Canis lupus familiaris: one gene and its partners. The protein of the gene in region 2 interacts with the protein of the main gene of each other region in a pairwise test. Links are inferred from orthologs where the notes say so. Each region holds a gene or a part of one and is shown on either strand. Other genes may lie near its edges. The genes, in order: SNX15, ARL6IP1, MYG1, SNX12, SNX11, SUCLA2 and TUFM.

Evidence for each region.
Region 1: the proteins of ARL6IP1 (region 2) and SNX15 interact in binary tests that used the Homo sapiens proteins (3 or more experiments, as listed by UniProt). The two-hybrid records come from large-scale screens. The link is inferred for Canis lupus familiaris from reciprocal best matches to the Homo sapiens genes ARL6IP1 and SNX15.
Region 3: the proteins of ARL6IP1 (region 2) and MYG1 interact in binary tests that used the Homo sapiens proteins (3 or more experiments, as listed by UniProt). The two-hybrid records come from large-scale screens. The link is inferred for Canis lupus familiaris from reciprocal best matches to the Homo sapiens genes ARL6IP1 and MYG1.
Region 4: the proteins of ARL6IP1 (region 2) and SNX12 interact in binary tests that used the Homo sapiens proteins (3 or more experiments, as listed by UniProt). The two-hybrid records come from large-scale screens. The link is inferred for Canis lupus familiaris from reciprocal best matches to the Homo sapiens genes ARL6IP1 and SNX12.
Region 5: the proteins of ARL6IP1 (region 2) and SNX11 interact in binary tests that used the Homo sapiens proteins (3 or more experiments, as listed by UniProt). The two-hybrid records come from large-scale screens. The link is inferred for Canis lupus familiaris from reciprocal best matches to the Homo sapiens genes ARL6IP1 and SNX11.
Region 6: the proteins of ARL6IP1 (region 2) and SUCLA2 interact in binary tests that used the Homo sapiens proteins (3 or more experiments, as listed by UniProt). The two-hybrid records come from large-scale screens. The link is inferred for Canis lupus familiaris from reciprocal best matches to the Homo sapiens genes ARL6IP1 and SUCLA2.
Region 7: the proteins of ARL6IP1 (region 2) and TUFM interact in binary tests that used the Homo sapiens proteins (3 or more experiments, as listed by UniProt). The two-hybrid records come from large-scale screens. The link is inferred for Canis lupus familiaris from reciprocal best matches to the Homo sapiens genes ARL6IP1 and TUFM.

Annotation. Positions count from the first base shown.
Region 1 is NC_049239.1:52,668,194-52,672,419, reverse strand, and holds the start of SNX15 (sorting nexin-15), read left to right. Parts: upstream 1-1,426; 5' UTR 1,427-1,582; coding exon 1,583-1,681; intron 1,682-4,226. UniProt on the Homo sapiens protein: May be involved in several stages of intracellular trafficking. Overexpression of SNX15 disrupts the normal trafficking of proteins from the plasma membrane to recycling endosomes or the TGN.
Region 2 is NC_049227.1:26,551,224-26,555,437, reverse strand, and holds the start of ARL6IP1 (ADP-ribosylation factor-like protein 6-interacting protein 1), read right to left. Parts: upstream 2,801-4,214; 5' UTR 2,678-2,800; coding exon 2,642-2,677; intron 415-2,641; coding exon 281-414; intron 1-280. UniProt on the Homo sapiens protein: Positively regulates SLC1A1/EAAC1-mediated glutamate transport by increasing its affinity for glutamate in a PKC activity-dependent manner.
Region 3 is NC_049248.1:44,742,651-44,746,833, forward strand, and holds the start of MYG1 (MYG1 exonuclease), read left to right. Parts: upstream 1-1,383; 5' UTR 1,384-1,398; coding exon 1,399-1,617; intron 1,618-1,705; coding exon 1,706-1,818; intron 1,819-4,183. Other genes in the region: PFDN5 (prefoldin subunit 5), read left to right, coding at 981-1,057. UniProt on the Homo sapiens protein: 3'-5' RNA exonuclease which cleaves in situ on specific transcripts in both nucleus and mitochondrion. Involved in regulating spatially segregated organellar RNA processing, acts as a coordinator of nucleo-mitochondrial crosstalk.
Region 4 is NC_049260.1:55,636,610-55,640,034, reverse strand, and holds the end of SNX12 (sorting nexin-12), read left to right. Parts: coding exon 1-12; intron 13-585; coding exon 586-710; intron 711-1,105; coding exon 1,106-1,208; 3' UTR 1,209-2,925; downstream 2,926-3,425. UniProt on the Homo sapiens protein: May be involved in several stages of intracellular trafficking.
Region 5 is NC_049230.1:24,345,074-24,349,366, forward strand, and holds the start of SNX11 (sorting nexin-11), read left to right. Parts: upstream 1-1,493; 5' UTR 1,494-1,642; coding exon 1,643-1,650; exon of another isoform or gene 1,651-2,109; coding exon 2,110-2,169; exon of another isoform or gene 2,170-2,557; intron 2,558-3,118; coding exon 3,119-3,173; intron 3,174-3,266; coding exon 3,267-3,341; intron 3,342-3,603; exon of another isoform or gene 3,604-3,609; coding exon 3,610-3,696; exon of another isoform or gene 3,697-3,788; intron 3,789-3,887; exon of another isoform or gene 3,888-4,004; coding exon 4,005-4,105; intron 4,106-4,293. UniProt on the Homo sapiens protein: Phosphoinositide-binding protein involved in protein sorting and membrane trafficking in endosomes. Regulates the levels of TRPV3 by promoting its trafficking from the cell membrane to lysosome for degradation.
Region 6 is NC_049243.1:3,404,670-3,408,667, forward strand, and holds the start of SUCLA2 (succinate--CoA ligase [ADP-forming] subunit beta, mitochondrial), read left to right. Parts: upstream 1-1,198; coding exon 1,199-1,288; intron 1,289-3,998. UniProt on the Homo sapiens protein: ATP-specific succinyl-CoA synthetase functions in the citric acid cycle (TCA), coupling the hydrolysis of succinyl-CoA to the synthesis of ATP and thus represents the only step of substrate-level phosphorylation in the TCA.
Region 7 is NC_049227.1:18,524,284-18,528,282, reverse strand, and holds the start of TUFM (elongation factor Tu, mitochondrial), read left to right. Parts: upstream 1-1,199; 5' UTR 1,200-1,354; coding exon 1,355-1,397; intron 1,398-1,500; coding exon 1,501-1,695; intron 1,696-2,150; coding exon 2,151-2,317; intron 2,318-2,571; coding exon 2,572-2,676; intron 2,677-2,766; coding exon 2,767-2,931; intron 2,932-3,083; coding exon 3,084-3,216; intron 3,217-3,297; coding exon 3,298-3,402; intron 3,403-3,514; coding exon 3,515-3,666; intron 3,667-3,773; coding exon 3,774-3,893; intron 3,894-3,999. UniProt on the Homo sapiens protein: GTP hydrolase that promotes the GTP-dependent binding of aminoacyl-tRNA to the A-site of ribosomes during protein biosynthesis. Also plays a role in the regulation of autophagy and innate immunity.

The DNA of each region.
Region 1 (4,226 bases), on a different chromosome or scaffold from region 2:
CAAGAAGACTTGGAGCCAGTCCTGCTGGGAGAGCTTGAGAGAGCAAAAATAATGTCTATAAGTGGCCTCTACGGGCAGCGGTTTAGCGCCGCCTTCGGCCCAGGGTGTGATCCTGGAGACCCGGGATCAAGTTCCGCATCAGGCTCCCTGCGTGGAGCCTGCTTCTCCCTCTGCCTGTGTCTCTGCCTCTCTCTCTCTGTCTCTCATGAATAAATAAATAAAATCTTTTTTTAAAAATTAAAAAAATAAAAATAAAAGGGATCTCTAGAGGTGTGTGTTGTTCAAGGGGACACCACCCCATCTAAGTCTCCTCCCAAACACCTCCTGGATAATCTACCCTATGTCTGAGCTTCCACCCGTCTCATTTGGGAGTTTCCTTTGTCTCTTTCTGGAAACTGGCAGTACGGTGCCCACCATAAGAGCGGCCGTGAGCACTTGAGCGCTTCACCCACGCTATCACTTTTAAACTTCACAACCTGGCTGTGGTGGTATCCATCAGAGTCCTCAACAGCTTGTCCCAGAAATGATCACAACTGCCTTCCGCAGAAAGGATGGTCTTGGGAAGATACTAAGATACTAACGCTGATTTGGGACAGCATCCTGATGGAGCTCTCAGGATGCCAGACATCAGGTTTGACAAACAGGGTGCCCAGAGGCTGGGCAGCTGAGCCCACAGCCAGCATTGCACATCATGAACAAATCAGTCCCCTTGCTAGGCACTGTGCACTCTGTTTCTCCCTCAAGAAACTCAAGAATTAGGCTTCTGGGGAGAGTCCTCCTCCCCTACCCAGGACTTGGGGCAAGGAAAGGAGCTGGCACCTTTGGATTCCAGGAGTAGGAGGCTGATGGGCTATACCTATTAGAGAACTACCTCCAAACAAAGATATGGTGCTAACAGAGAGGTGGGGGTGAATGCTGGACAGACCAGGAGGGGAAAGAAAGAAACATCCACTGCAGTAGATTCTATTAGAAACATTATAAACGTTCTAGAGAGGAGAAACTTAAGCTCAGGTAGTTAAGGGAAACTCATACAACTGGTAAGAAGTGTGACTTCAGAACCTGTGAGGCCATCCTCTTCTCTGGAGCTCTTTTTTGCTTCCCCTACCCTTGCAGAAAACATGAATTAGCGAATCCTACGGAAGGAAACAGGGAAATGATTTGGCTACATCTGCCACACACTCGGCACAATAAAAGTTGGGTGAGTGGATGAACGAAGGGGACCAGAAAGCATAGGAGAAGTCGTTTGGACACGTTTGATGGGGAAAGCTCGAGCACCTGTCAGCTAAGTGATCCCACCTCCCCGGTTCTTTTTTTTTTTTTTTTTTTTTTCCCCCACCTCCCGGGTTCTTATCTCTTAAACTACCTAGTTCACGCCTTACCCGCCACCGAGAACTTTTTAGACGCTCCCTGGCCGCACGCCAAGGCCAAGGACTGCGCCGTCACTTGCGACCCGCTCCCTAGGCTCGAGGAAGAAGGGCGCAGGCCTGGGAGATGCGGGGCCCGGCGGAGACTGACCTGGAGGGGCGGGGGCGGCGTTGAGGAGGCAGAGGCCGGCGGTCAGCCCCACTCCAGCTCGGTTGCCATGTCCCGCCAGGCGAAGGACGACTTCCTGCGACACTACACAGTCTCGGACCCCCGGACCCACCCCAAGGGCTACACCGAGTATAAAGTGACCGCGCAGGTGAGGTGGGCCCGGGTGGGGACCTTTACCCTTTTAACAAGAGGTGGGGCAGTGTTTTACCTTAAGGCAAGGCGCCGCTGGTCGCTCCCTTTTTAGACGACAGAAATGGATTTCCCCTTTAAGGGGAGCCTGCGGGTAGAGCCCCGGCTTACTTCGGAGCGGTCCAGTGGAGCGGCCCTGGGAGGGCGCTGTCCTTTTAAAAGGGCTTGGACCGTAGTTCTTGGAGTGGGAGGGGCGGGTTCCCACGCCCTACGTGTGGCGTCAGCACTGCGGGCTGTGAATTTCTTCAAATTAGCACGGAAACTCTGGCTCCGTGCAAATGTTAGTTCTCCAGTTTCTTGGATTAGGTTTGTGTGAACCGCTTGGTTTGATATTAACATAAAAGCCCTTTTTTTTCTTTAGTTTAATTTTTAATTTTCTTTCAAAAAAACTCTATGACTTTAAAAATCCTTACAGCTTAGGGATCCCTGGGTGGCGCAGCGGTTTGGCGCCTGCCTTTGGCCCAGGGCGCGATCCTGGAGACCCGGGATCGAATCCCACATCGGGCTCCCGGTGCATGGAGCCTGCTTCTCCCTCTGCCTGTGTCTCTACCTCTCTCTCTCTCTGTGATTATCATAAATAAATAAAAATTAAAAATAAAAATCCTTACAGCTCAAAGAGAATTTTAAAGAGTAAGTCAGAAAAAAAAAAAAGAGTAAGTCGGTCTGCAGCTTCGCAGTCAGAGCTGGAAGACAGAAAGTGAAGTTGATTATGGAGCAGTAACAACGTTATAGGCACATTTTACAGATACATAGGGGGAACCACGAGAAGGATTTAAAAAACAGTGTAAAAGAGTATCTGCAGAATGATATATAGGAGAGCTGGTTGGGGGAGACTTTTCACTGTAAATTGTTTATTACTTTTAGAATTTTAAACTAGAGGCACCTGGGTGGCACAGTGGTTGAGCATCTGCCTTTGGCCCAGGTTGTGATGCCAGTGATGCCAGGGTCCTGGGATAGGCCCCACATCGGATCCCCCATCGGGTTCCCCCGCAGGGAGCCTGCTTCTCCGTCTGCCTATGTCTCTGCCTCTCTGTGTGGCTCTCATGAATAAATAAATAAAATCTTAAAAAAAAAAAAAGAATTTTTAATTAGGCGACTATTAAATGGTACATTAATAACTATTAAGGGGAAGTTGCAAAGTGATTTAGGTGCAGAATCCTAGATGTTTAAAAGGAACTTTCCCTATTTCTTTTATGTCTTTTCCTTGTCAAATAAAAACAAGACACACATGCAGAAAGATAGTCCCTAAGAAGACTAGACTGGAGGGTGGCCAGGGACTGTACTCTTTTCTGATAAATCTTTCTGTTGGTTTTTTTTTTTTTTAATTTATTTATGATAGTCACAGAGAGAGAGAGAGTGAGAGAGAGAGAGGCAGAGACACAGGCAGAGGGAGAAGCAGGCTCCATGCACCGGGAGCCCGATGTGGGACTCAATCCCGGGTCTCCAGATTCGCGCCCTGGGCCAAAGGCAGGCGCCAAACCGCTGCGCCATCCAGGGATCCCTTTCTGTTAGTTTTTAAACATTCATTACTTTGATATGTTTTTATTATAACTTTTAAAGAGAAGTAATTTTCCCTCTTTTACCATCCCCATTCATCTGCCATCTTGGTGAGAATTAATGCCACTATGTCCTTCTTTATCCTTGCATATAAACCTTATATTTAAAAGCAGTTATGTGTACCTAGTTTATTATTTACACACAGTCTCACCGGTCACTTGCTGGTATTCCTCAGTTTTTTGTTGTTTCGCCTTGTAAATTTTCTAAACCAAAACAGGGACGCCTGGGTGGCTCAGAGGTTGAGCGCCTACCCTCACGCCCAGAGCATGATCTTGGAGTCCCAGGATCGAGTCCCACATCTGGCTCACTGCATGGAGTCTGCTTCTCCCTCTGCCTATGCCTCTGCCTCTCTGTGTGTGTGTCTCTCATGAATAAATAAATAAAATATTTTTTAAAATTCCACAACATAATTTATGTAAGTAATGCACGTAGATCCTAAGTGTATAGCTCAATAATTTTTGTATATGGATACATCTGCACTGGCAGTGCTCAGATCAGGATATAGACATTTCCCTCCCCCAGAGAGTTTCTTTGTACGTTTCTCATCTATAGTCCTCCTCTCAGAGAGGTAACCGTTGTCCTGACTTCTGTTCCCCTAGATTACTTTTGTCTGTTCTTGAGCCTCATACAAATGAAATCATATACACAGCAAGTACTCGCTTGTGTCGGGCCTTTTTCCTTCTCTATATAATGTTTTTTGGAGTTTATCCATGTTGTTGCGTGTTGAAGTAGTTTGTTCTTTTTTATTGCCATGTGATGGTAGCCCCTTGTATAAATATACCACCATTTCTTTATTAATTTTCTTGTTACTAGACTTCTAGGTTATGTCTAAAAAAATGTTTTCTGTTTTGTTTTTTTTAATGTTTAGTTGTTACGAGTTGTATGAACATTCATGTGCAATTCTTTTTATGGACATGTGCACCCATATTTTCTTAGTATGTACCTAG
Region 2 (4,214 bases):
CTTCAGAATATGATGACATCATAGCTGCAATGGTTAATGTAAACATCAAGAGACAAAAGCCCCTTGGGGTCCTCAATACTTTTTAGGAATATAAAGGTTCTTTAGGCCAAAAAGTGTGAGAGCCACTCATTTATTCAACTGGTTTAGGTTACTGAAAACTAGGAGAACTGCTCCAAGAAAAGGCATTCTTTACAGATTATAGGTTACAAAAGAGGCTGTGTGTTACCTGAGCCCTTATTAATAACAAGCACAATCCACAATAATTTAATAGCTCACTTACAGAAACAGCAAAGAAACCACACCCATGATGGCAGGTGGAAACCAGGCTCTTTCCCATCTGAGGACTTTATCAGCCATCAGCATCACTTCTCCCCATCCCTGCAGCTGCTCTTCCAGACTTGCAGTCTCTGCAGCCTACACAAGACCAACATGTAAAGTGATCATTTTACCACTCCCAACATTTCTGTGCTTCTCAGTTAATTTTTTTTAAGACACCAAGAATGTAAAAGAGCCCTCAATCAAATCACTATCTTAGTTTCTAAATAATTCTGCAATTTTGGTAGCAAGACAGAAATCAATTAAGGGGGGGGGAGGTGGCAACCTACCATTTAACAGTCACCAAGTCACCAAGTCCAAGCACTGGGCTACTCTTCATACATAATGTTAACAATCCTAGTAGAGGCCCTCAAAGTAGGGATAAGAGACCTTATCCTTATAAGACCTTATGGATAAGGTCCATCTAAGTGACCTTAGATGGGTAACCAGCTTTCTCAAAGTCATGCACTAAGTGGCAGCACCCAAAATATAAAATTAGATCACTTCAAATGTGCTCATTTTTCAGGTGGTTAGAATTGATTGATCTGTTGTTTTGTCATCTCATTGATTTATACTCCTACTTCTAAATCCATTAAGAAAGCCTCTCTCTGAACAGCATTCAATTTTTAAAATAGCGCTGTGTAATGGAATCCTTTAGATGCTGGCATCATTTGCACAATTAAGTAAAACTTACTTTCACCAAATTACATGAGGCATCTCAAGCTCAGTGTATCTCCATACAATGAGTGCTTCTTACACTTACCAGAACATTTGGTTAGACTTCAAATTTCTCTGCAAGACTGACAACCTAGCTGAAAGTAGACTTCTGGAATGAGCTAATGTGGCAAAAAAAAACACAAAAAAACAAAAACAAAAACCCTATACTGATTTTGGTACAGGAAAAAAACTAGAAAGAAACCCACATGCCCTTATAAATGTTATCATGGGGAAATATACAAAAGAGAGAGGACAGGACAGCCTAATCTTACTAGAGATGCTATCTATCTGTGCCACACTGATTACTTGGGGGACTTCAACATTCCTGACTTTATATACACCACGCTTAATATAGTTAAACAGAAGATTACTATGTGCCAGAAGCTCTAAGTATTTTATATGCTTATACTTTAATTAATCCTCCCAATGAATTCAAAGGATGGTATTGTTACTCGCCTCATTTTACAGATGAAGTAACAGATACATGGAGGTTAAGAGATCTGAACCCAGGAAATCCAAAGCCAAGGGCCTTGTTCTGCTTAAAGTTACACTGCTTTCTGCTGGAAAGAGCAGCTGAGCTTCGGGCCAGGCTCGGTCACCTCAACAAACTGTGTGAATTTGCTGGACAATTTCTTTGTGCTTCGATCAATTCCCCTTAACTGGAACTTGGCCGGAGCTAACTCGGCTAGCCACAGACAAGTGTGCTGGCATGTGCGTTACAGGAACAGGCCGTGCATTTCTAAACACCAATGCAAAACGAAAATCTGGCACCATCACGGCTGCCCTGCAAGGTCACCAAACTCGTTAGCACCCGGGCTCTTGGAATATCCAACGTCAAGGATGAAATGCTGTTTCGTTGTGGCAACGGACAAAAAAAAAAGAAAAGAAAAAGGCAAGGATTTCTCTCGTTTTTTGCCTAGATCGCGCCGTGAAAACAAGTAGGTTAGATTTATCCGCCCGTGAGACACCACTGCAGTTCCTTCAGACCCCTGCTTATTCTAAAGTCCACCTGTCTCTCTCTCTCTCACACACACACACACACCCCTCCCTTGCAAACTCCAGGCAAACCCAAGGTCCTTCCCCACTGTCCTTCCAGCTGGACCTCTAATCCCAGTTCCCCGCGGTGAGTTCACAGCCTCCCTGCGGGTTTAAGCTGCGCCAGCTCCAGCAAATTCTCGCCAGTGGCCCTTTGACCCTCCCCGCCCCTCTCCCGTCCTCCCCCCTCCCCCCACCCCTGCCCAAGTATTGGGGCTAAAGAACGAAGGGAAGAGGAGGGGAACCCCGTAGAAGAGCCTGGGGGCCTGGGGTTCAAAGCGCTCGACAGACAGGCCCCTGGAGGCCTGCGCCCCAGGCTCATCGCAGCCCCCCCTTCTCCCACTTCCTCCCCGATCCGCGGGGGCTGGTCACGCGCCGTCCTCACCTCGCCCCGTAGCTGCCCCACGGGGTGTTAAGGGCCGCCCGGTCCGGGACCGCCCCGCTGCACCCACCCGGGGCCGAGGGGGAGGAGGGCCGGGCCCACCACGGTGGGAGGAACGAGGCCGCAAGAGCGCTGCCAGGCTGAGCCCCCGCCCAAGCCCGGAGGCCCCTGCCTGCTCCCCTCGCGACTCACCAGGAGGTTGGTGCTGCGATTATCTCCCTCCGCCATCGTCCCTGAAGTGCCGCCCGAGCGAGCGCAAGCCGGCCCCTCCCGCACACAGCGAGCTCCGCGCCGAGACCCGCACGGCGACCCAGGCGCGAAGGGGACGCCCCGCAGGCCGCTTATATACACCAGCCAGCCTTCCCGACAGGCCCCGCGAAGCCCGCTCCTCATTGGGTGGATTGAACTCAAGCTCCGGGGCGGCCCGACCAACCGCGGCCCGGCGCATGGCTTGAAATCGGGGTCAAAGGAGACCGAGGCCGCGCAGGCCGAGGGGGCGGGGACAAGGAGCGGCCAATCAGCGCCCAGGAGCTGTGGGACGCCCCGCCCAGGCCTTTCGGGAGCGGTTGAACTGCCGCGGCGGGGCCCCCCCGCGCCCCGGTCCCGGGCTGCGTGACCCGCGGTGGCCGCCCCGCCGCGCTAGCTCTCGGGATTTAGTCCTGGGGGAAACAAAACACGCCCCGCGTTATCAGGAGGACGGCGCGGTGACGCCGACCTCGCTGCGATCGGTGGCCCTCGCTGCGCCCCCGCGCGGCCACTCGGTGGCATTCGCCGCTCGGGCCGCCCCGGCCGGGCCCCCGTCCCCCTCCCCTCCCCCTCCCCCGGCCCCGCGGCTCGGACGCTCGTGCCCACCCCGGGAGGAAAGGGCAGTCCGCCGCGTGCAAGCAATCAGGAGTAAGGCCTTAGCTGGATGGAGGAAGGGGCGGGGGAGGAGGAGCGCAATCTGGGCTTAGTTCTCCAACACGGGGGGTGGGGGGTGGGGGTGGGGAGGGGAAAAGCACCGATTTCTCCAAAGTCGGCTTCTTCGTGGGCGTCTCCAAGGGAACTCCTTGGTGGGGTGGGGCGGGGCGGGGCGTTTGGGTTGCTTAGGAGACGACGACGCCCCTCCGCGTGAAGGGTCAGGTGTTGACCGAACCTCCTTCCTTCCTGAGATGAGAGGTCTTGCTAAGCAAGGAGGTAAACCGCCCTCCTCGGGGGTGGGGGTGGGGGTGGGGTGGATTCGTAAGCAGTTTAGCACCAGACGAATGACTCCCACGTCTTTTCTCTGCAGGATTTCAAAATGCATTAAGCGTTTTTTTGGTTTTCCGTAATAGGAACGAAACCATGCCAGTGGTTATAAATGGGACATTGACCTGTTGACCCGATCAGAGAGGTTTCCGGAAGACCTCACCGTGGCTTTTTACGTTCCGGCCTTTTAAGTCCTCTTTATGATGACCTGTAGTATGCCACAAACGTGACTTTAAGAGACTACCCAGGTTCCTAAGAGTTTGAGAGGACACGGCTCCAGAGCTCGGTGAATTTCAGGGAAGGGTGTGACTTTTTACCACGATGTCGGAGGGTAGGGGCGGGGAGACGGGGAAGAAGGCCTTTGCGAAGGAAGGGGACTCTTCAATAAAGTGCCACTTTGGGGAGAAACTAGGCTTTTGTAGGTAAGATGCAGGCCGTGGATAGATACAGAGATCGCGTCTGGGGAGCCTTTAGAGCTGTGAAGTTTGTAGAACAGGCCCTCCCCCTCCCTCTTCAAAAGAAAATGAAAAGGTCTTAA
Region 3 (4,183 bases), on a different chromosome or scaffold from region 2:
AATAACCCAGGAAGTTTAAAAAGGAAGCCCATGTCCAATCCAAACCAATTAAATCAACCTAGGAAGGGGGGATGGGGAATTCTAGAGGATCGGTGTTTTTTAAAAAAACTCCCCAGGTAATTCTGTTACAGTCAGGATTGAGAACCATTGTTCTAAAGGTGAACATCTTATCCATGGTTATGTTTGACTCTTTTAATACTGTATTTGTTCATTTTTATGTCCCACTGGTTACCATATTTACTGACACATTGTAGAGTGTGAATTTGTTTGTGTGAGTATGTCCCACAGTGGATCACTGTTAAAAGTGGGTATTTTTTTTTTTTTTTTAAGATTTTGTTTACTTATTCATGAGACAGAGAGGCAGAGACACAGGCAGAGGAAGAAGCAGGCTCCATGCAGGGAGCCTGATGTGGGACTCGATCCTGGGTCTCCAGGATCACACTCTGGGCTGAAGACGGTGCTAAACCACTGAGCCACTCGGGCTGCCCAGTTTTTGGTGTTTTTAAAGATTTATTTATTTAACAGGTGCCTGGGTGGCTCAGTTGGTTAAACATCTGCTTTCAGCCCAGGTCATGAATCCAGGGTTCTGGGATCAAGCTTTGTGTTGGGCTCCCTGCTCTGTGGGGAGTCTTCTTCTCCCTCTGCTGGTCCCCCATCCCACTCATGTCTGAGCTTTCTGTGTCACATAAAATATTCTTAAAAAAAAATGTTTTTGAGAGAGTGCATTGGGGAGAGGGGGAAGGTAGAGTCTTAAGCCGACTCCACACTGAGCACAGAGACAGGCAGGGGGGCTCCTCTCAGGACCGTGAGATCAGGACCTGAGCCCAAACCAGGGGTACCACACTTAACCGACTGCACGCCCCAGGCACTCCTCAGTGTTTTGTTTTATTAACTGTTTAACTTTTTCTCACGGTTCCTAACTCTGGGTTCTCCACTTAAGCTCCAGACCAGGATCTGACTCCTCTTTCCCTCCCCCACAGCTGTCATGGAGATGATGAGCCAGAAGATTCAGCAGCTCACAGCCCTGGGGGCAACTCAGGCGACGGCCAAGGCCTGAAAGCTCGGTTCAGAAACGGTTCAGAAACGGGCCAAGTGCTCCTGCGGCGGGAGCTGGGACCTTGTGGGCGTGGCTTCCCGGGGCCCAGGACGGGAGGGGCTTGCTTCGTGCTAATAAACGTGCCCGCGGGGCCCAATGTTGGTGTCGGTGCTTTCCGCGGAGGCTGGAGGTGCGCGGGGGGCGGGGCGGAGGTGCTGCGGCCCCGCCCGGCACTGAGCGTCTAGAGGCGGGGGGCGGGGCCTGGTGGGCGGGCCCGTTGCCGTGGGAACGGCCTCCGGCGGAAGTGCGGCTGCGCGGGCGCCTCCCCTTCCGGGTCGTGACCCGCGGGCCCCGGAGGCCGCATGGGCCGCGGCTTCCCGCGCGCTCTCCTCCCGCGGCTGCTGCGGCCGCCGCCCCCCGCGCGGCCCGGACCCCGGATGCTCCGCGCGGAGCCCGTCCCGCCGCCCAAGCGACCCCGCGGCGGCCTCATGGCGCCGGCCCGAATCGGGACGCACGACGGCACCTTCCACTGCGACGAGGCGCTGGCGTGCGCGCTGCTGCGCCTCCTGCCCGAGTACCGGGTACGGCCGGGTCGCGCCCCCGCCCCGCCCCGCCCCCGGGCTCCGCCTGCGCGACCCTGGCCGCCCCCTCACCTCCTGTGCCCCGCAGGATGCGGAGATTGTGCGGACCCGGGACCCCGAGAAACTGGCAGCTTGTGACGTCGTGGTAGACGTGGGTGGCGAGTACGACCCTCAGAGGCACCGGTACGACCATCACCAGAGGTCAGTGCCCGGCGCCCTCGCTCTGACCTCGACTCCGGCGGCCCGAGGGCCCCGAGGGAGCCGAGACCCCCGTCAGGTCAGCGCTTCACTGTGCTCCGACCCGGGAGCGCGTCCTTTCCGGGGGGGCCTCCCGCCCTCCCTCCGGCCCCCAGCGCATCGCGCTCCCGCAGTGAGTCACCCTACCTCGTCCTCCGTGCTCTTTTTTCTTTTTAATTTTATTTATTCATGAGAGACAGAGGCAGCGACGCAGGCCGAGGGAGAAGCAGGCTCCATGCGGGGAGCCCGACGCGGGACTCGATCCCAGGTCCCCGGGGTCCCGCCCTGGGCCGACGGAAGGCAGGTGCTCAACCGCTGGGCCCCCCGGGCCGCCCATTCCTCCTCCTTTTCAAAGGAACTTGAGCCTTTCCAGTGTGCAGGTTCATAGCAGCACCCGTCTGCCCCAGGGCTTATACTTCCTAAAACTCTGCCCACGCCCTCCCATCTGGAAATCAAAGGACTGGGGCAGCCCCGGTGGCTCCGCGGTTTAGCGCCGCCTTCGGCCCAGGGCGGGACCCCGGGGACCTGGGATCGAGTCCCGCTTCGGCTCCCCGCATGGAGCCTGCTTCTCCCTCGGCCTGGGTCTCTGGTTCTCTCTCTGTGTCTCTGTATTTCTGATGAATAAATAAGTAAAATCTTTGGGGGGAAAAAAAATCAAAGGACTGAGTAAAAAACCCTCCCTCATACACCACATTGCTTACAGTGGTGATCTCTGAGAGATTGACGATTTTATTCGTAGGTATTTCTGTCCCTCTTTGTTAAGCATACATATTACATTCATAAATTCATAAATAATATGGAGGGGGAATCCTGGCATTTATAACCTCATCGCTTACCCTCCCTTCTCAGCCTTTTTTCAGAAGAGCTGACCCTGGTTGCACATCCCTTCCACTTCATTCAGTTCATCCATTTAGCTGGTCCTCTCCCAGTCTTTCCCTTGGAAATGCTTATGAAAAGGTTATGCTTATGAAAATGCCTTATGAAAATAAATCACACATTTATTAACACATTTTTAGGTGGGTTCTTTCTTTCTTTTTTTTTTTTTTTTTTTTTTTTTTTTTTTTTATGGAGAGAAAGTGCACACAAGCCCAGGGAGGGGCAGAGGGAGAGAGAGACTCTTAAGCAGGGTCTGTCTGTACCTGGTGGAGACCCTGAGGCCAGGGCTCAGTCTCGAAACTCAGATCATGACCTGAGTCGTGAAGAGTTGGCGCTTAACCGACTGAGCCACCAGGCACCCCAACGCTTTTGGAATATAAAGCATGTAATGAACACCCAACGGCCAATCTCCCAACCTAAGCTCTAGAAGGTTACCGTTATATTCGCACCAGTACGCAGGCACTTCTTCCCTGTCCCATGTCCCGACCTCCCCAGAAGTAGGCCGTGTCCTTAATTCTGTGTTCATCATACCCCCGTTTACTGTGTAGTTTAGCACATCTGTTTCTCTCAGTAGTTTAGTTTTGCTTTTTGGATTTTTACCTGGGGGTTTATTCTGTATTCATTTTTATGCCTTATGAATGTTTTATAGATGTTTTTATATACTCAGTAATAAAAAGCACAAAAAAATAAGCTCTAGGTGATTCTGATGGATGGGTATTTAGAAATTACGGCTGTAGCTTCTGCTTCCCTAAGATCTGTCATATCAGTAGAATTCAGGTGTGTCTACCTTTCTCACCCCTGCCAGCACTGCAGGTGGTCTGCATTTCCGCATGCTGCCTGGCACAGCGCTCTACCCTGAGCTTGTCCGCTCAAGTTCTCAGGTTCCCTACTCCCAGACTCTTCTATATGGTGGACGAGGCCTGCCATGATCTGGCCCTTGCTTACCCTTCTAGCTTTGCTTTTTTTTTTTTTTTTTTTTGCCACTCGTCACACCCAAGCTGCCTCTCTTGCAGTTCCGTGTAGAGACCTGTCTCAGCCATCATACATGTTGGTCCCTCTGCCTGCGATGCCTTTTCTCCTTCGCCTTTTGTCTGGCCGGTGAACACCTAATTCATCTTTTAGGAATGACCTGAAGTCGCTCTTCTCACCCCACCCCCATTGCCTTGTTTATAACCTACCAAGAGCATTAGCCTGGTGGTGTGCCTGCGTGTCTGCCGGTAGTAGGTGAACTTGAAGGCAGGGACATGGTCTCAGGGTTTGCTCTATCCCTGATGTGTAAAACACGAAGCCTGGCATGTAGAGAGCAGTGAATTCACCATTGTCAAATGAAAGCATGAACAGACTCCAAGCTGAGGTCCGTGTTGATCCCCATGGAGAAGCTGAAGCTCCCGCACCCAGGCGCTCTCCTCCCGACTCCTGAGCGTTCTCCAGCCCCGCCCCCTCGTGCCTATAC
Region 4 (3,425 bases), on a different chromosome or scaffold from region 2:
CGAGATAGTAAGGTATGACCCCATTCCCTGTGTGGGATCCTAGGAGGAGGATATCTACATAGCCTGAGAAGGCATAAGATCATAGTCTATAAAATCTTAAAGGCAGCGGGGGGGTGGGGGGGGCTAAACACTATCAAATCCCAACACATTGGATCTGGGTGATAACCCTTTAAACTTGAATTGAAAGCGGTGAAGTGCAGGACAAATTTTAAAGAAAACGTATCACTTGAATCAGTGGCTAGTAAAGTCATATAACTTAAACTCCTATAGATGCTAAAAATGTAAAGTATAGTGTCAGGGAAGGCCTAGCTAAATTAGTGGATGCTAGTGGATTGTTAAAGAGAGTGAGGAATATTTGAGTTTATTTCCTTTCTTTCTTTTGAGGTAGAAGGCCAGTCCTATCATAAAATCAGTTGGTTTTTGACCTGAGCCATCTTGGCTGCTCTTATGGTCTCAGTTCTTACAAGTTGCTGGCTGTGGGATAAGATAGACCTTGCCTAATAGGAAATTAAGTATACAGTGTTTCACCACCTCATTCCCTCTTCATCCTCTCTCATGTGGTTGATATTTTGCATCTGCCTGCAGATTGTAGTACCACCACTGCCTGGGAAAGCCTTGAAGCGTCAGCTCCCTTTTCGAGGAGATGAAGGGATCTTTGAAGAGTCCTTCATTGAAGAAAGGAGGCAGGGCCTCGAGCAGTTTATTAACAAGTAAGCCAAGTTCTTGGGGACTCTTCTTGCTGCTTTTGCCATCATGGTCTTTATATGTTTTGTCTGTCTCCTCTTTGTAATAAGATGTGATGCTAGTTGTGTGCTGAGCTGACTGGATCGTAAGACTCCGTTCCTTTGAGCAGAATTCTGATCCTGTACCTCAGGGTCTGAGAAAGTACTGCATGTTGGATGTGTTTGGTGGTTTCTCCCTGCTTTACCTCTCTGTCCCCCTTCTCCTATATAATATTAGGGTGGAGTGGTGCCCTGTTGTCCTCTTCTTGCTTGAACCTCTGAAAGAGCTGACGTTGCCCTTCTTCCCCTGTCCACACCCCTGTCACTCTGTGAATTCTCTCTGATCCCAAATACTACTGATAACCATCTTGGTCTCTTTATAGAATTGCTGGGCACCCACTGGCTCAGAACGAACGCTGCCTACACATGTTCCTGCAGGAGGAGGCAATTGACAGGAACTACGTCCCCGGGAAGGTGCGCCAGTAGGAGCCCCTCTCACCACTTGCCCTCTACTTTCCTGCTGAAAATGACATTGATTTTTACACTAAGCCTCTCTCTCCTTCTTTGATCTGAAGTTGGCTGCCCATCCCCTGGCCTGATAAACTGTCTGGCATTATATTTCTTGGTACCTGACTACACCGTGGGCACACTGCTATGATCCTCTTTTTTAAGGAGAGATGGGAACCACAGGCAGATGCCCTTTGCTTGGGGTGCGGGTGGGGGGATTGGATTAGAAGGCAATTTACCCATGCCAGAAGGCTAATCTTATGGGGGGGGCGGGTCTTGTGCTGGATACACTTGGATACATACTGATGCTGCAAGTCCAGGGGATTTTCTTACTCTTAGGTTTAACCAGGAACGCTGAGCAGGGAACAACCCTGCATTTCCTATCTGCATGAACTTTTTCCTTTTGGGGAAGGTGGTAGAGACCTAAATGTTCTCCTTGTTTTCTCTAGGCCTGCTCCCAGTTTTCTCAACAGTTTCTTTTGTTACTTTCTCTTCCTTGTTGCTTTTCATGGCAGTAAATCCTCCTAGAGTTTAAGCAGTCTGTTGTGTGGAGCAAGATGTGTGGGTTTTCTGGGCCCCTCATCATGGCTGCTTCAGTCAGAAGAAAGCCATAGGGCAGTAGGAGAATTCTTATTGTCTAGCCCCTCTCTTTTGTGGCTCCCCGCTCTGGCTGCCTGTTCTTGCTCATCAGCAGGTGAGTCAGTATGGGCCAGCAGTTCCTCCCCAAGCCCTTGCTACTTTACATGTTAGCCTTGCAGGTTTGGTGGCTTGAGGGGTGGGGGCAACTCACCACTGCCAGGTAACTCCCCAAAGGGTGGGAGTGGATCATTTTCTAGGTACCTCCCAGTGGTAGGGAAGGGTATCACCACCCTCCTCCTTCCATTCTCCCTTCCCCCCATCCCATTTAGTGCTGCCATGGGGCAGAAGCACGTGAACAAACCACAGTCTCTGACTTCTAAGCACTTTGAGCTGTTGAATGGGGCTCAGGGGCAAGAGTTGTCACTGACCTCCCCAGATTGGTCACAGGGTTATTGAACTGCCTGCACATGTTTCCTGTAGAACTCCAGCATCTTCCCCAGAATTTGAGCTAGAGATAGCAGCTGGGTGTGGATGTCCCAAGTCTTAGAGTCTGAAGCAGCTTTCCTGGGCTTCTGTCTGGGAGGTGATGGTTTGTTTGCTGGGGCCTGATATCCATCTCCAGTGGTGGGGTGGGAGCAAATTAACTGGTGTCATGTCAAAAGTATGGACTCTTCCCTTAGACTCTCTATCATGGAAGGATTGGAATTCTCTATATGGGGTCTTGGAGAAAAGGATTATGGAGTCTGACAAGACCCTGAAAAGAGAAATTAGGATTGGATTTTGACATAGGATTTGGAGTCCTTCTAAATGTTGAGGTTCCCTGAGACAGATCAGCTCTCCACCTGCTGAGCCTGTACCAGGGGCTGAGTAGCCCCTAGAGAGTCTCTGCTCCCTTTCCCACCTCCCCAGTGTTGGTGTTGTTGCTGCCTTTTGTATCTTCTGTTATTGACTTTTTTTAAGAGTTCTTCTTTCATTGTGCAACAAGTGCTGAAAGCCTGAGGCCCCATTTCTGCTGTGTATATATCCTGACTCGGGGCTTTTATTCAGCAAACTGTTCATTCTTCTGTCAGACAATGTCATATTCAACTCTGTTCATATTAAACCACTGTGAAGCAAGCCTCTGTTTTCCTGCTTAAGTTGTAAATATAGTATTTTTTAGTGTCTAGGATAGTCTTGGTATTGTGCAGAAATCATACAACATGGTCAGTGTCCTGAGGTGATAAGTTTTACATTTAAATAAAAAAAAAAAACTAGAATCCTAGCTGCCTGTAGCAATAGTTACCTATCTTTGCAACTCCCAATTGACTTTGTCAGAGGTAATGCATCTATTTGCAGGAAGTAGCTATAGAGCTCAATACCTGTGGTTTAGATTTAGCAAATTTGGGTTTTAAGCTTGTGGGTTCTAATTTGGGCAGAATATATTTATTGTGTGTGTGTATGCATATATATGCATATGCTATATGTGTACGTAAACGTGTGTGCACGTGCTCATCCTCCAACATACCACCTACAAACACTATTTCATAGGTTTTATACTTCAATTGAGACTATTTTCTTTTTTTAAGTTTACTTATTTACTTAGTAGAGAGAACAGAGTGAGCAAGAGAGAACATGAGT
Region 5 (4,293 bases), on a different chromosome or scaffold from region 2:
CACAGGACAGAGGCCGGCTCTTGCGCTAGACTGTGGTCGCGGTTGTGATTTATCTTCCAAGTGTAGCGAGCGACAAGTTACGGAGGGACGACATGGAGCAGAGCTGCTGGGTTGGGAACTTGGTCAGGAGAGGGAGCATCCTCTACCACCTGTGGGTGTTTAGGAAGGAGAGCTTTCTGGGTCCTCTGGCATCAGGGGCTCAAGAATGACTGAGAAGGGATTAGGAGTCTTGGTAGCTCAAAACACTTATCACCTGAGGTTTTTTTTTTTTTTAAGATTTTATTTATTTATTTGACAGAGAGAGCAAGAGCAGGCAGAGGGAGAGGGAGAAGCAGACGGTAAACAGAGAGCCTGATGTGGGGCTCGATCCCAGGACCCTGGGATCATAACCTGAGCCGAAGGCAGAGGCTGAACTGACTGAGCCACCCAGGCTCCCTACCTGATTTGTTTTTTAACCTGCCTTTTTGAAGTAGTTTAAATGGGAGTGAGGATGGTGCTGAGAAAGCCCTGAATTGCTACGTTGAATTGTTAGGACATAGGAAACCTTTACAAGGAATCTTTGTAAAAAGCAAACGACTGCGTTCTCAGAGAGATTGGTGTTGGTAGGGGTGGAGAAAGTAAAGGGAGCTTCACATGTGGTTGAAAGGACCCAGGAAATGTAGTGCCACGTGAGATGCAGACATAGCTGAGAGGATCGCTGACTTATCCTTATTGGCATGACCACTCTATTTCCCAGATCACGAGCTAGAGTTAGGAACTTCCTTCTTCCCCTCCCTGGACAGAACTGAGCTTCATTTCATTTCCTGCTGAGGAGTGGCATCTGTGTGGAGGAAGCTGGTGGGAAGGGTAATTGCTAGAAATTATGACTCCGAATCTAGGTTTTTGTGTTTGTTCCAATGTCCAGTGTTTTTAAGGAAAAGTTAAAATGGAAACTTTGTTAGTGCCCTTTAAACTTAGATTTAAGTATACAGCATCTTGGGGCAGGGGTGCTAGGATTTTTTTTTTTTTTTTTTTGAAAGCCAGTTTAAGCCATTCGTTTCCGAGTGGTGTTAGCTCCAAAGGAAAGGAGAGAAACTTATATTTGCAGATGGTTCAGGGTCCTAGACAAACTCTTTTTTTTTTTTCTTCCCCTAGACAAACTCTTTTTGAGCCTGAGAATGATGATCACTTGGTTACTAAATCATGGTCCTGAATTTGACAAACCTTTCAAGGCACAGGAGATGTGTGAGGTCCACTGAGTGTGTGGATGATAATTGCCTTGTCATTTTGCCCATCGTTACTTTTGTGAAAAGAGATTTCAGAATATTTAACTCTCTGCTCTTGTGCTGGCAATTTACCAAATACCTGAAAAGAGAAAAAAATTAAAAGGTTAGTTGTTCACCAGCCGGTCTGTTCTTTTTGGTAACAACCTTTTTTTTTTTTTCTTTAAAGATTTTAAAAATTTATTTATTCATGAGAGACAGAGAGGCAGAGTCAGAGACACAGGCAGAGGGAGAAGCAGGCTCCATGCAAGGAGCCCGACGAAGGACTCCATCCCAGGACTCCAGGATCACGCCCTGGGCTGAAGGCGGCGCTAAACCGCTGAGCCACTTGGGCTGCCCTGGTCACAACCCTTTGACTGCTTACATTGGGGACGTTACACATGGGTTGGTAAGGAATTGGAATTTCCTTTCAGTTCAGGATGCCTTTGTGATGGTGACTGCATCAGATGAAAAATCAGATTGTTGGCAAAAGTGCAACGATGGTATCGCAGTCACAAAACCTCTGGCTTGCTCAACGGTGTAGTCCAGTCCTATCATACACCATGCAGTTTTATCCCTGTGCAGTGGCTGTGTGTGGAGAGACCTTCTGGTGTACTGGAAAGATTTGGGAAAGCTGTTTGCTCTGCTAATTTTGCGGTGTAAATGAGTTCCCCTTCTCTTGAAACGTTAGCCTTGTGTTAGCAAAACATAAAATAGAAGGAAACTCATTACACGCGGTTCTAATGGTAAGGCAAAACTAATAAGAGAATGTGTTTAAAATTAATTGTAGGCCTGTAAAAATGAGTGGGTGTGTGAATGGGTATGGGGGGAGGAGAGAGAGAGCTTAGAGATAGTCTTGTTTTCCCAGGAGCCGGCCTGGATCATTTGTTGGCAGTACATATTGGCTGAAGTCAGTTTTCATTTCAAGGTAAATTGGAAAGGGAAATTAAACCTTATTGTTCCGCTCTTAAGAGAGGAGAAGGGGGTGGAGGCGGCAGCCAGGGTGGATGCTGTTGGAGTGGTTCTAGGAGTAACAAGATTAGTGCTGTATTTTAACAGAAGGTGACATCATGGGCCCCTTTGGACTGGAGTAACCCAGCGCTGGAGGCTTCATGGGCCCCTTGTTGGAGTGGGCGATGTCGCTGCACATGTAAACTGCCACACTGGGGGAAATCAGGGGCTTAGGCTTTAATGAATCTTTACAAAGGATCGGAAAACATCCCGAGCCGACCTGTGCAGCTGTGGGGTACTTGGGCATTGGTACAAACCGGATAGCATATCGAGAGAGGAAATGACTGGAACCATTGGCTTGGGTTCTGGAGAACAGATTAGAGAAGGGAAGGTCGAAACTGGGCAGCCCATTCAGGTGCTCCCTGAGCTCCCCAGCTCCCTGATTGACTTCTGGGTAGGTGATGACTTAGCAAGACAGACTTCAGAGCCTTGGTGTTGGTGGGGCTTAATTGTCTCTAAACTGCCAGGAGGGGGCGGTGTCAGGCTCACTTGCAGAGGCTCTTGTGTGCCCCAAAGAGACTTTCACCTGCAGTCCTTAGCAGAAAAGGTCTGACCTTGAACTTGCCTATTCTGGCTACCTGACCTGAACGCTTCACAGACCTAAACATGCCTTGTTGGGCTAGACGTGGCCTAGGTAAAGGTCCTGGCTGTGGTCTGCAAAGAGGGGCAAATCCCCTGGGGCTTTTAGCTTGGCACTGAGCTAAGGTATGGGAATTTTTTTGCTTCCTCTTAAGTTTAACACAAAAACAAAAAAAGGTGCCTGGGTTTTCCCAGGGGGGAATCAATGAAAATTTTTCTTGGTAAAGAATGATAAAAATAGAGGCATGCTAACAATGATTGTTCTCCTGTCCTCTGTCCCCCATCAGATGTTTTCTTCCAATGGGCTTTTGGTTTAGGATGTTGGAAAACCAAGAGCAGGAGGTAAGCGTGTGGTCTCCAGGAAACAGGTGGGTAGAAGTTTGATGGGACTTGGGTAAAGATGCCTATCATTGCTGCATGGTGTTCTAATGACAGGAATACCTTGGGGGTTCTGATGAGCTCAACGGCAGAAGAAGGATATCCATAGTAAAGCCATTCCTGGGAAATGAGGTTCCATTTTCACTAACTTTCCCCATTCATTGGAATGTTGTTGAATGTCAGATTCACAAGGGCAAAGATTTTTGTCTCTTGTTTATGTATTACTCCCAATGCTTTAGAACTGTCTGACACATAGTGGGCGGTCAATAAATATTTGTTGAATTGAATGAATAAATAAATGAATGGTTGGTGCTGATTGGAAAAATCTGGCAACCTGTATTGTCAAAGCTGCCTTATTATGTGGCCAAGCTGAATCTGAAGGAGCCTTTCTTACCTCCAGGAGGTGATCACCGTGCGTGTTCAGGACCCCCGAGTGCAGAATGAGGGCTCCTGGAATTCTTATGTGGATTATAAGATCTTTCTCCACGTAAGTGCATCAGCCTTCTGTACGGGGTCAGCACTCTCCAGGGCTGAGGGCTAGAGCAGAGGTGGAGCCTGTTTTTGGATATTTTGACAGTCCTGAGACAGAGGAAAGAGAGAGAGGTGAGGAATGAGCTTGGGGTATGCTGTAGAGTTGCTTTCAGTCTGCCTGGTGGCACCTTGCTCAAGTTGGAGCACCTGATCTGGACTGTGGCCTGGTGGCTTGGATCCTCCGTCAGAGTGATGATGGGGATATGTGTGAATTTGGTCTTTTTCTCCTTGGCTTTTTTCTTTCTCACATGCTTCCTCCTGTAGACCAACAGCAAAGCCTTTACTGCCAAGACATCTTGTGTGCGTCGCCGATATCGTGAGTTCGTGTGGCTGAGAAAGCAGCTGCAGAGAAATGCTGGTTTAGTGTGAGTTTGCTTCTGCTTCTTTCTTGGGTCTGAGACTGGTTTTTCAGGCATGTACGTGAGAACCAGAGTTTACAATAACGAAAACTTGGCAATATGTCAGGCACTCAGGAAATCAAGACATGTGTTCTTAAATTATGTTTTCAAGTCAGTGGAAAAAGTAAAGACAAAAGTTCTAGCATTTTGACCTA
Region 6 (3,998 bases), on a different chromosome or scaffold from region 2:
CGGGGCAAGGTCCGCGGGCCGGAGCGGGCGCGGCGGGCTCCGGGGCCCGGCACAGGGAACCCACGCCCCCCGCGCCCCCGCGCAAGGAACCCGCGCCCCCGCACAGGTCACCCGCCCCCCCCGCGTCCCCGCGCAGGGAACCCGGGCACCCCGCGCCCCCGCACAGGTACCCACGCCCCCGCGCCCCCCGCACAACTCACCCGCCCCCCACCCCCGCGCACCCGCACAGGTCACCCGCGCCCCCGCGCCCCCCGCACAGGTACCCACGACCCCGCGCCCCCGCACAGGTACCCACGCCCCCGCGCCCCCCGCACAGGTCACCCGCGCCCCCCGCGCCCCCGCACAGGTCACCGGCCCCCCCCCGCGCACCCGCACAGGTCACCGGCCCCCCCCCACCCCCGCGCACCCGCACAGGTCACCCGCGTCCCCGCGCCCCCCGCACAGGTACCCACGACCCCGCGCCCCCGCACAGGTACCCACGCCCCCGCGCCCCCCGCACAGGTCACCCGCGCCCCCCGCGCACCCGCACAGGTCACCGGCCCCCCCCCCCCCCCCGCGCACCCGCACAGGTCACCGGCCCCCCCCCCCCCCCCGCGCACCCGCACAGGTCACCGGCGCCCCCGCACAGGTCACCCGCGCCCCCGCGCCCCCCGGCGCAGGGACCCTGGGACCCCGCGCCCCCGTTCAGGGAACCTGCCCCCTCCGCGCCCTCGCGCAAGGAACCCGCGCCCCCGCGCCCCCCGCACAGGTCACTCGCGCCCCCAGCGCCGGGAACCGGGCCCCTGCGCCCCCTCCCGCCCCCCCATGCATGCAGGGAACCCAGGCGCCCGCCCGCCCGCCGCGGGGGAGGAGGGAGGAGGGAGGAGGGGGAGGGGAGGGGAGGGGGAGGGAGGGGAGGGGAGGGAGGAGGGAGAAGGGAGGGAGGGAGGAGGGAGGAGGGAGGAGGGGGAGGGGAGGGGAGGGGGAGGGAGGGGAGGGGAGGGAGGAGGGAGAAGGGAGGGAGGGAGGAGGGAGGAGGGAGGAGGGAGGAGGGAGGAGGGGGAGGGGAGGGGGAGGGGAGGGGAGGGGAGGGAGGAGGGAGGGAGGGAGGGAGGGAGGGAGGGGCGGGGCCGGAGCGCGCGGCCCGAGCGTCTGGGCCGCCGGCCGCCGCGCCTACTGCGCCTGCGCACGCCGCGAGGGGACGGGGTCGGGCTCAGCAATGGCGGCCTCCGTGTTCTACAGCCGGCGATTGGCCGCCGCCGCCCTCCGCAGCCGCGGGTCCCGGCCGGCGCTGCGGGCCGCCGCCCAGGTATTGCGGCCCCGCCGGCTCTCGCTTCGAGAGGGTCGGCAGGAGAAAGGGCGAGGTGGGAGACCCGGCTCCTGCGGGCGGGCCCGGCTCGGGGTCATTTCGCAATAGGTGACATTGGGTGACACGGGGGCGCCAGCCGGGCCGACGGGCGGCGTGTCCCGGAGGGCTGCCCGCCCTGACCGCGCGTCTCCGCGCTCGTCCTCTGCCCGGGGGAGCCCCGGCGGCGGCGGCGGCGGCGGCGGCGGCGGGGGAGGAGGGAGGGGGGAGAGGAGGGGGAGGGAGAGGGGGAGGGGAGAGGGCGGGGAGGAGCGGGGGGCGCTTCTGCGCGCAGGTGCGGCGGGGAGGAGGGGCGTGCAGGTGCGGGGGGCGGGCGGCGCCTCTGGTGCAGATGCGGGGAGCTGGGGGCGCCTCTGCGTGCAGGTGCGGGGGGGGAGGGGGGAGAGGCAGGCAGGTCGCCCCGCGGCCCTGCTAGGGGCGGGGGGTGGGGGGGGGAGATGCCCTGCAGGGGGACTCGGGTCCCTTGGGAGCGGTCATAGGCGGGAACGCTTGCTGACGGGCCTTCTGGGGGGTCGAGGCCGGGCAAGTTTCCCACCTGCCCCGCCTGGCGGTTTCCTCCTGTGCTTGTGAACAGTGGGGACAAGATGCTGTTGATCATCAGCTTACCCAGCTGGGAGGTCGGACGGCGGTCCTCTGGGTCGCTTCATTTCTGGGTAGAGTGCAGCCCAGCGGTCCCAAGTTCTGGTTGGTTGGTTTGGGTTTTCTTGTTCCGGAGTGTGTGCCGCGCACAGGTTGTGGGCGTGTGATCCCATCCCTCTTATTGCCCCTGAACCTGAGCTCTTGTCGGGCAGACAGTGACCATGTGGGCCAGCCCCCCCGCTGCTGGACCCCACACCTGCTGAGCTGGGCCAGGTGCTGAGCTAGGCATTTTACTTGTACTTTCTTTCCTTTCTTTTTTAAGATTTTATTTATTTATTCATGAGAGATCCAGAGAGAGAGGCAGAGACACAGGCAGAGGGAGAAGCAGCTCCCTGCGGGACCCATGCAGGACCGGATCCCGGGACCCCGGGGTCACGCCCTAGGCCAGAGGCAGATGCTCGACCCCTGAGGTGCCCCTTACTTGTAGTTTTACTCCCTTACTTGTAGGGAGGCTTTTCAGCTCCGCTTTAAGGGCTGTCAATATTCTCATCGTTGATGGAGAAACTGTGGCTTAGAGAACAAGTAATTGGGGCTCAGCCATAAAGCAGGTGAAGTCAGAGCTAAGGCGTAATTCCAGAAGTGTCTGGCCCCAAAGCCTGTGCACTTCAATCTGCTCTTGTTTTTTTTTTTTTTTTTTCCCCCAGGAAGCCTTGGCTTGTTTTTTTTCAACGTTGTCACCAAGAAACTTGTGAAAGGGCGTGATTGGCTTCCAAGTCGATTTCAGAGTTTTACGTTTTGTTCCGAAATGAACTCCTTAGACATGACAAAGATGAATTGATCTAGATTTTTTTTTTAAAGCTGTTCATAGTCTAAACCTGGAGGCAGTGAATTACATGAGTAAGCTTCTTAACAGGAGAAGTGATTTTTTTTTTTTTGGCCTTGAACTTCCTTCTCATGAGTTTTAGAAAATGAAGATTTGATGAACAACTATGTTTTCATCTATCCTTTTGGATATTCTATTAAAAACCTCTTGTCTTTCTGTAGGGAAGTGCCTCATATGTTGTCTTGTAACATCTCTTCTTTCCCACCCACACGTTAAATAATACAGCTTTAGAATTTTGAAGACTAACCCCTTCTGTACCTGAGGACACAGAGGTTCAGGATCCTAGGAAACTTATTCAAGGTCACACATTGAGTTTAGCAAATACTTTTTTTTTTTTTTAAGCAAATATTCTTAAACTTTTTTTTTAAAAGATTTTATTTATTCATGATGGAGAAGCAGAGACACAGGCAGAGGGAGAAGCAGGCTCTCTGTGGGAAACCCGATGCAGGACTCGATCCAAGGACCCTGGGGTCACGCATGGCCTGAGCCAAAGGCAGACACTCCACTGCTGAGCCCCCCAGGGATCCCATTCTTAAACATTTTGTTTAATTCTCTGATCACCTTCTAGTTTCTCTGTATCTTTTGTCCAGTATATATCTGGTAACATAGTTCCGATTATGAGCAGATGAACTAATTTAAAATATTTTCTCAGTTGTCGTGAATCAGATCCCCCAGTAACGACCTTTCCCCACATTTTAATAAATATGATTTAAACTAGGTGAATGACTAAATAGGTGGTAGTATAGGGATTTGGCCAGGAATTGGTGGCCTTTTGGCAGGAGGAATATGCTAAGTGATAATGTGGAGAAAGACAAAGACTTAAATGTGGGAATCCTTGTGATTATGCAGGAATATTTATTACCAGCATAATTCAAAAGTCGTATTTCAAGTCATAACTTATAGTGGTACAAGGAAAGGATTATCAATACTTCAGATATTCAAAAACCTCTAAGGGGTATAAAAGTTACCAGCATTACCCTACGAGTACTACTGATTCTTTGTGAGTATAGATATTTGAAAGAAATTGTAAAAATAGAGCTTTGTGTCATTGGTTTACCTTGAGCTATTTTTTGAAAAGTTTGAAACTGGTAGAATGTTCCAGCAACATTTCAGTGAGCACATATATTGTTTTCATCTAAATTTAACATTTTGCCACATTTGCTTTATCTTTAAAAAAAATTACATGTGCAT
Region 7 (3,999 bases), about 8.0 Mb from region 2:
GCAACATGGGTGCCTTGAATGTGAGCCTATACGAAGCATTTGCACAATGCCTGATACACACACAAAGCTCTAGCTCTGAGTTTTGGAGCGTGGGAAACAGCGTGTGGTATAATAAATAGTTTCCCTGTCTGTGCTCAGACCCTCCTGAATTATAATCTTCAAGGGAGGAATTAGGGGATCTATTTGAAACAAAAACCATGGGTGGAGTCTTAGGATCTGATGAGTTTGGGAAACACCATTTGGGTTAAGCACTGCCATTCTCATCCCAGGGTGATGAGATGATGGAGGTGAAAGTTAAAGGTCATTTGCGAGGTTTGCACTCACTTGTTCAGTCAACAGAAGTTTCCTGAGCGCTCACTGGGTGCCCCACCCTATGTTTGGTGCTGGGGACACTGCAGGAACAAGAAAGACTCAGGCTGCGGGTATGGGCACCTGCGGCGGGTCCCTCACCTCGGTACCATCTGCGTTAACTGGGTAGCGATCAAGGGAATTAGTCTCTGGCCTGCTGGGGGGCCCCAGGGGTGGACGGCCAAGTTGTCTCTCCCCGCAGGTTGTGAGCCCGAGGGCGGGTATTTGAGGGTCAAGGACTGTGGGGCCCGGAGGCCCCTGGGCTCATTGCTGCCTCCTGTCCAGCTCATTTCCTCTCAGGGCCAGATGTCAGAATCTCCCCACGAAGTAGATACTACTGTTCCCATTTTACAGATAAGAAAACAAAGGCTCAGCGGAGAGATGGGTCACATTTGCGCGCTACCCGCGAAAGGCTTCCAGGCCCGTGTGTCTCAGCCTGGCCGCAGGGCCTGATCCTACCTCCAGCGGCGGCTCAACGGCCGCCAGATCTCTCGCCAGACCCGCGCGGTGCGTCGGCCTCCCGGGGGCTCTGGGCCAGAACGCCCCCGAGCAGCCCGGGCCCTGGCCGCCGCCTCGGGCTCCTGGAGGCCGGCCCCCTCGCTCCCGACCCCGCCTAGCCCTACCTGACTCCCAGGCCCCGCGCAAACACAGCGCGCCGCCCCGGGAACTACAACGCCCGTGAGCCTCCGCGGCGCTGGGGAGAGACCGGACGCTCCACGTCGCCGCCAGAGACAACCGCTTTGCCCTCATCAGCACGCGAGGCCCGAGGGCGCTGCGGAAACCTCCCTCCCTCCCCGCCCTCGAGACACCGGCACCTTCCCGGCCTTGTCTTGGGTCCTACGCCCGGAAGTCGTATGATGGCCATGAAGACTGGAGGCTAGAGAGACCCAGACTTGTGCTCTGGGCCTTCACTTCCGCCGGAAGTGACCTCCAGTCCCCCGTGCCCTTCCCTTTCAGCACGCGCGGGCGCCCGGGACCCGGCACTCGGGGCTCGAGTACGACCACCATGGCGGCCACCACCCTGCTGCGCGCGACGCCCCTCTTGAGCGGTGAGGGGGCGGGGAAGGCCATGGCGGCGCGGGGCCACGTGGGGGTTGTCGCGAGCGGCCGGGATCGGACCCGCGCCCTGACTCCCAGCCTCTGCCCCGGCAGGTCTCGGCGCCGGCCCGACCTCCCTGCTGCAGGGTCTGTTGCGGCCGCTGAAGGCCCCAGCCCTGCCCCGCTTATGCCGTGGCCTGGCCGTGGAGGCCAAGAAGACCTATGTGCGCGACAAGCCCCATGTGAACGTGGGCACCATCGGCCATGTGGACCACGGCAAGACCACACTGACCGCGGCCATCACCAAGAGTAAGCGGGGATGGGTCGGGGGCGTCCGGAAGCGCCCGCCCAGCAGGAGAGACCTGGAGCTGGGGAGGTGCTGCTGGAAGTGTTGTGGCCCCAGGAGCCAGAACCCTGCGGGCAGTGGATTGCAAGATGCGGGAAACACATTTCTCCTGAACGTGAAAGATTTTGTGATGCATAAGCTGGGGAGCCGGAATGGCCTCTCTCTTGTCGTGGCCAGTACCCTGTAGGCAGAGGGTGCTTTACCCTAGAGAAGTCGCAGGGCTGGACCATGAGGCCTTGTTACATTTCCCTCTGACCCGAGTTACACCCACTGCAGGAGCTGAGGGTGTGTCATGGACACATTATTCTGGCCGACGGTCCTTTTGTATAGTAGGTGGGAGGGACTCGGTGTGGCTTAAGCCTTGCCTCCTTACCTCTGGTACTTCATCTGAGAGGCTTATTCTTCTCCTTCCCCTTAGTTTTAGCCGAGGGAGGTGGAGCCAAGTTTAAGAAATATGAAGAGATTGACAATGCCCCTGAAGAACGAGCCCGAGGAATCACAATTAACGCGGCTCACGTCGAGTACAGCACTGCTGCCCGCCACTATGCCCACACAGATTGCCCAGGTCATGCAGATTACGTTAAGGTGAGTGTTGCTGGGTACAGGGTCAGGGGCTGTCTCCCACCAGAAAAAATGTTGGACTTGTGGAGAGGTTAGGATATTCAGGGTGCATGGGTTGAGGTCCTGGATTTCTGGGCATAGCCACTCAAAGTGGGTGGTAAGGAGATAGCAGAAAAAGGTGGGCCTCCATTCCTAACTGCTGTGCTTGGTTAGACGGATTTGGAGCTGAGGTGAGGGGGTCCTTGAACTGGGCTGTTGTTTCCTCTCTTCCTACTCAGAATATGATCACAGGCACCGCCCCTCTCGATGGCTGCATCCTGGTGGTGGCGGCCAATGACGGCCCTATGCCCCAGACCCGAGAGCATCTGCTTCTGGCCAGACAGGTACTCAAGAGCCTGGGGAGGGGTGGAAAGAGAAAGAGTGGGAAATTGGGTCCATTCAGGATACTATTTCTCTCTCTTTGCCATCCACAGATTGGAGTAGAGCATGTTGTGGTGTACGTAAACAAAGCAGATGCTGTCCAAGACCCTGAGATGGTGGAGCTGGTTGAGCTGGAGATCCGGGAACTGCTCACTGAGTTTGGCTACAAAGGGGAAGAGACCCCCGTCATCATAGGCTCTGCCCTCTGTGCCCTTGAGGTGAGGGGGGGGGGGAGGGGGTCAGGCAAGGGCTGTTACTGGCATCGGATGGGGCTGGATGGGTGTCCAGAGCTTTGCTTTGAGTCTGGGGAGCATCTCTTAGTAAGAGGAACAGAATGACAATTTCAGAATCCTGTCATCTCCCCCCATAGCAACGAGACCCCGAGCTAGGCGTGAAGTCTGTGCAGAAGCTGCTGGATGCTGTGGACACTTACATCCCAGTACCCACCCGAGACCTGGAGAAGCCTTTCCTGCTGCCTGTAGAGTCCATTTACTCTATTCCTGGTGAGGACCCTGTTCACTTGCACCCTTCTCTAGCTATAGCCTGATCCAGAATACCTGATGTCCTGTCCTATTTTTTTCCAGGCCGGGGCACGGTGGTGACAGGTACACTAGAGCGTGGCATTTTGAAGAAGGGAGATGAGTGTGAGTTCCTGGGACATAGCAAGAACATTCGCACTGTGGTAACAGGTATGGGAAAGATGCCTTGGGACCCAGGGTCTGGCTCCAGGATTTCCCTTGCAGATCCTTTGTGCCTTCCCTCTGCCCTAGACCCTCCTCCCTTGTCTCGCCTCCCTCCTAGGTATTGAAATGTTCCACAAGAGTCTGGAGAGGGCAGAGGCAGGCGACAACCTGGGGGCCCTGGTCCGAGGCTTGAAGCGGGAGGACCTGAGGCGTGGCCTGGTCATGGCTAAGCCAGGATCCATCCAGCCCCACCAGAAGGTGGAGGCACAGGTGAGGGAGGGCTCCCAATGAGGATGGGCAGTGCTGAGCCAAACTGCCCCATGCAGAGGCAGTCTTTCCAACCAAGCATAGCTTCACCCTTGTTCTCTCTCTTGCAGGTTTATATCCTCAGCAAAGAAGAGGGTGGCCGCCATAAGCCTTTTGTGTCCCACTTCATGCCTGTCATGTTCTCCCTGACTTGGGACATGGCCTGTCGGGTTATCTTGCCACCAGGGAAGGTATGGTGGGTACAGGGAATGTGAAGAAGTAGAAGAGACACTCTTCGTTATCAGCTCTATCTACTCACAGTTCCAATTATGTGACAACATGGGTGACTTTTCCTTG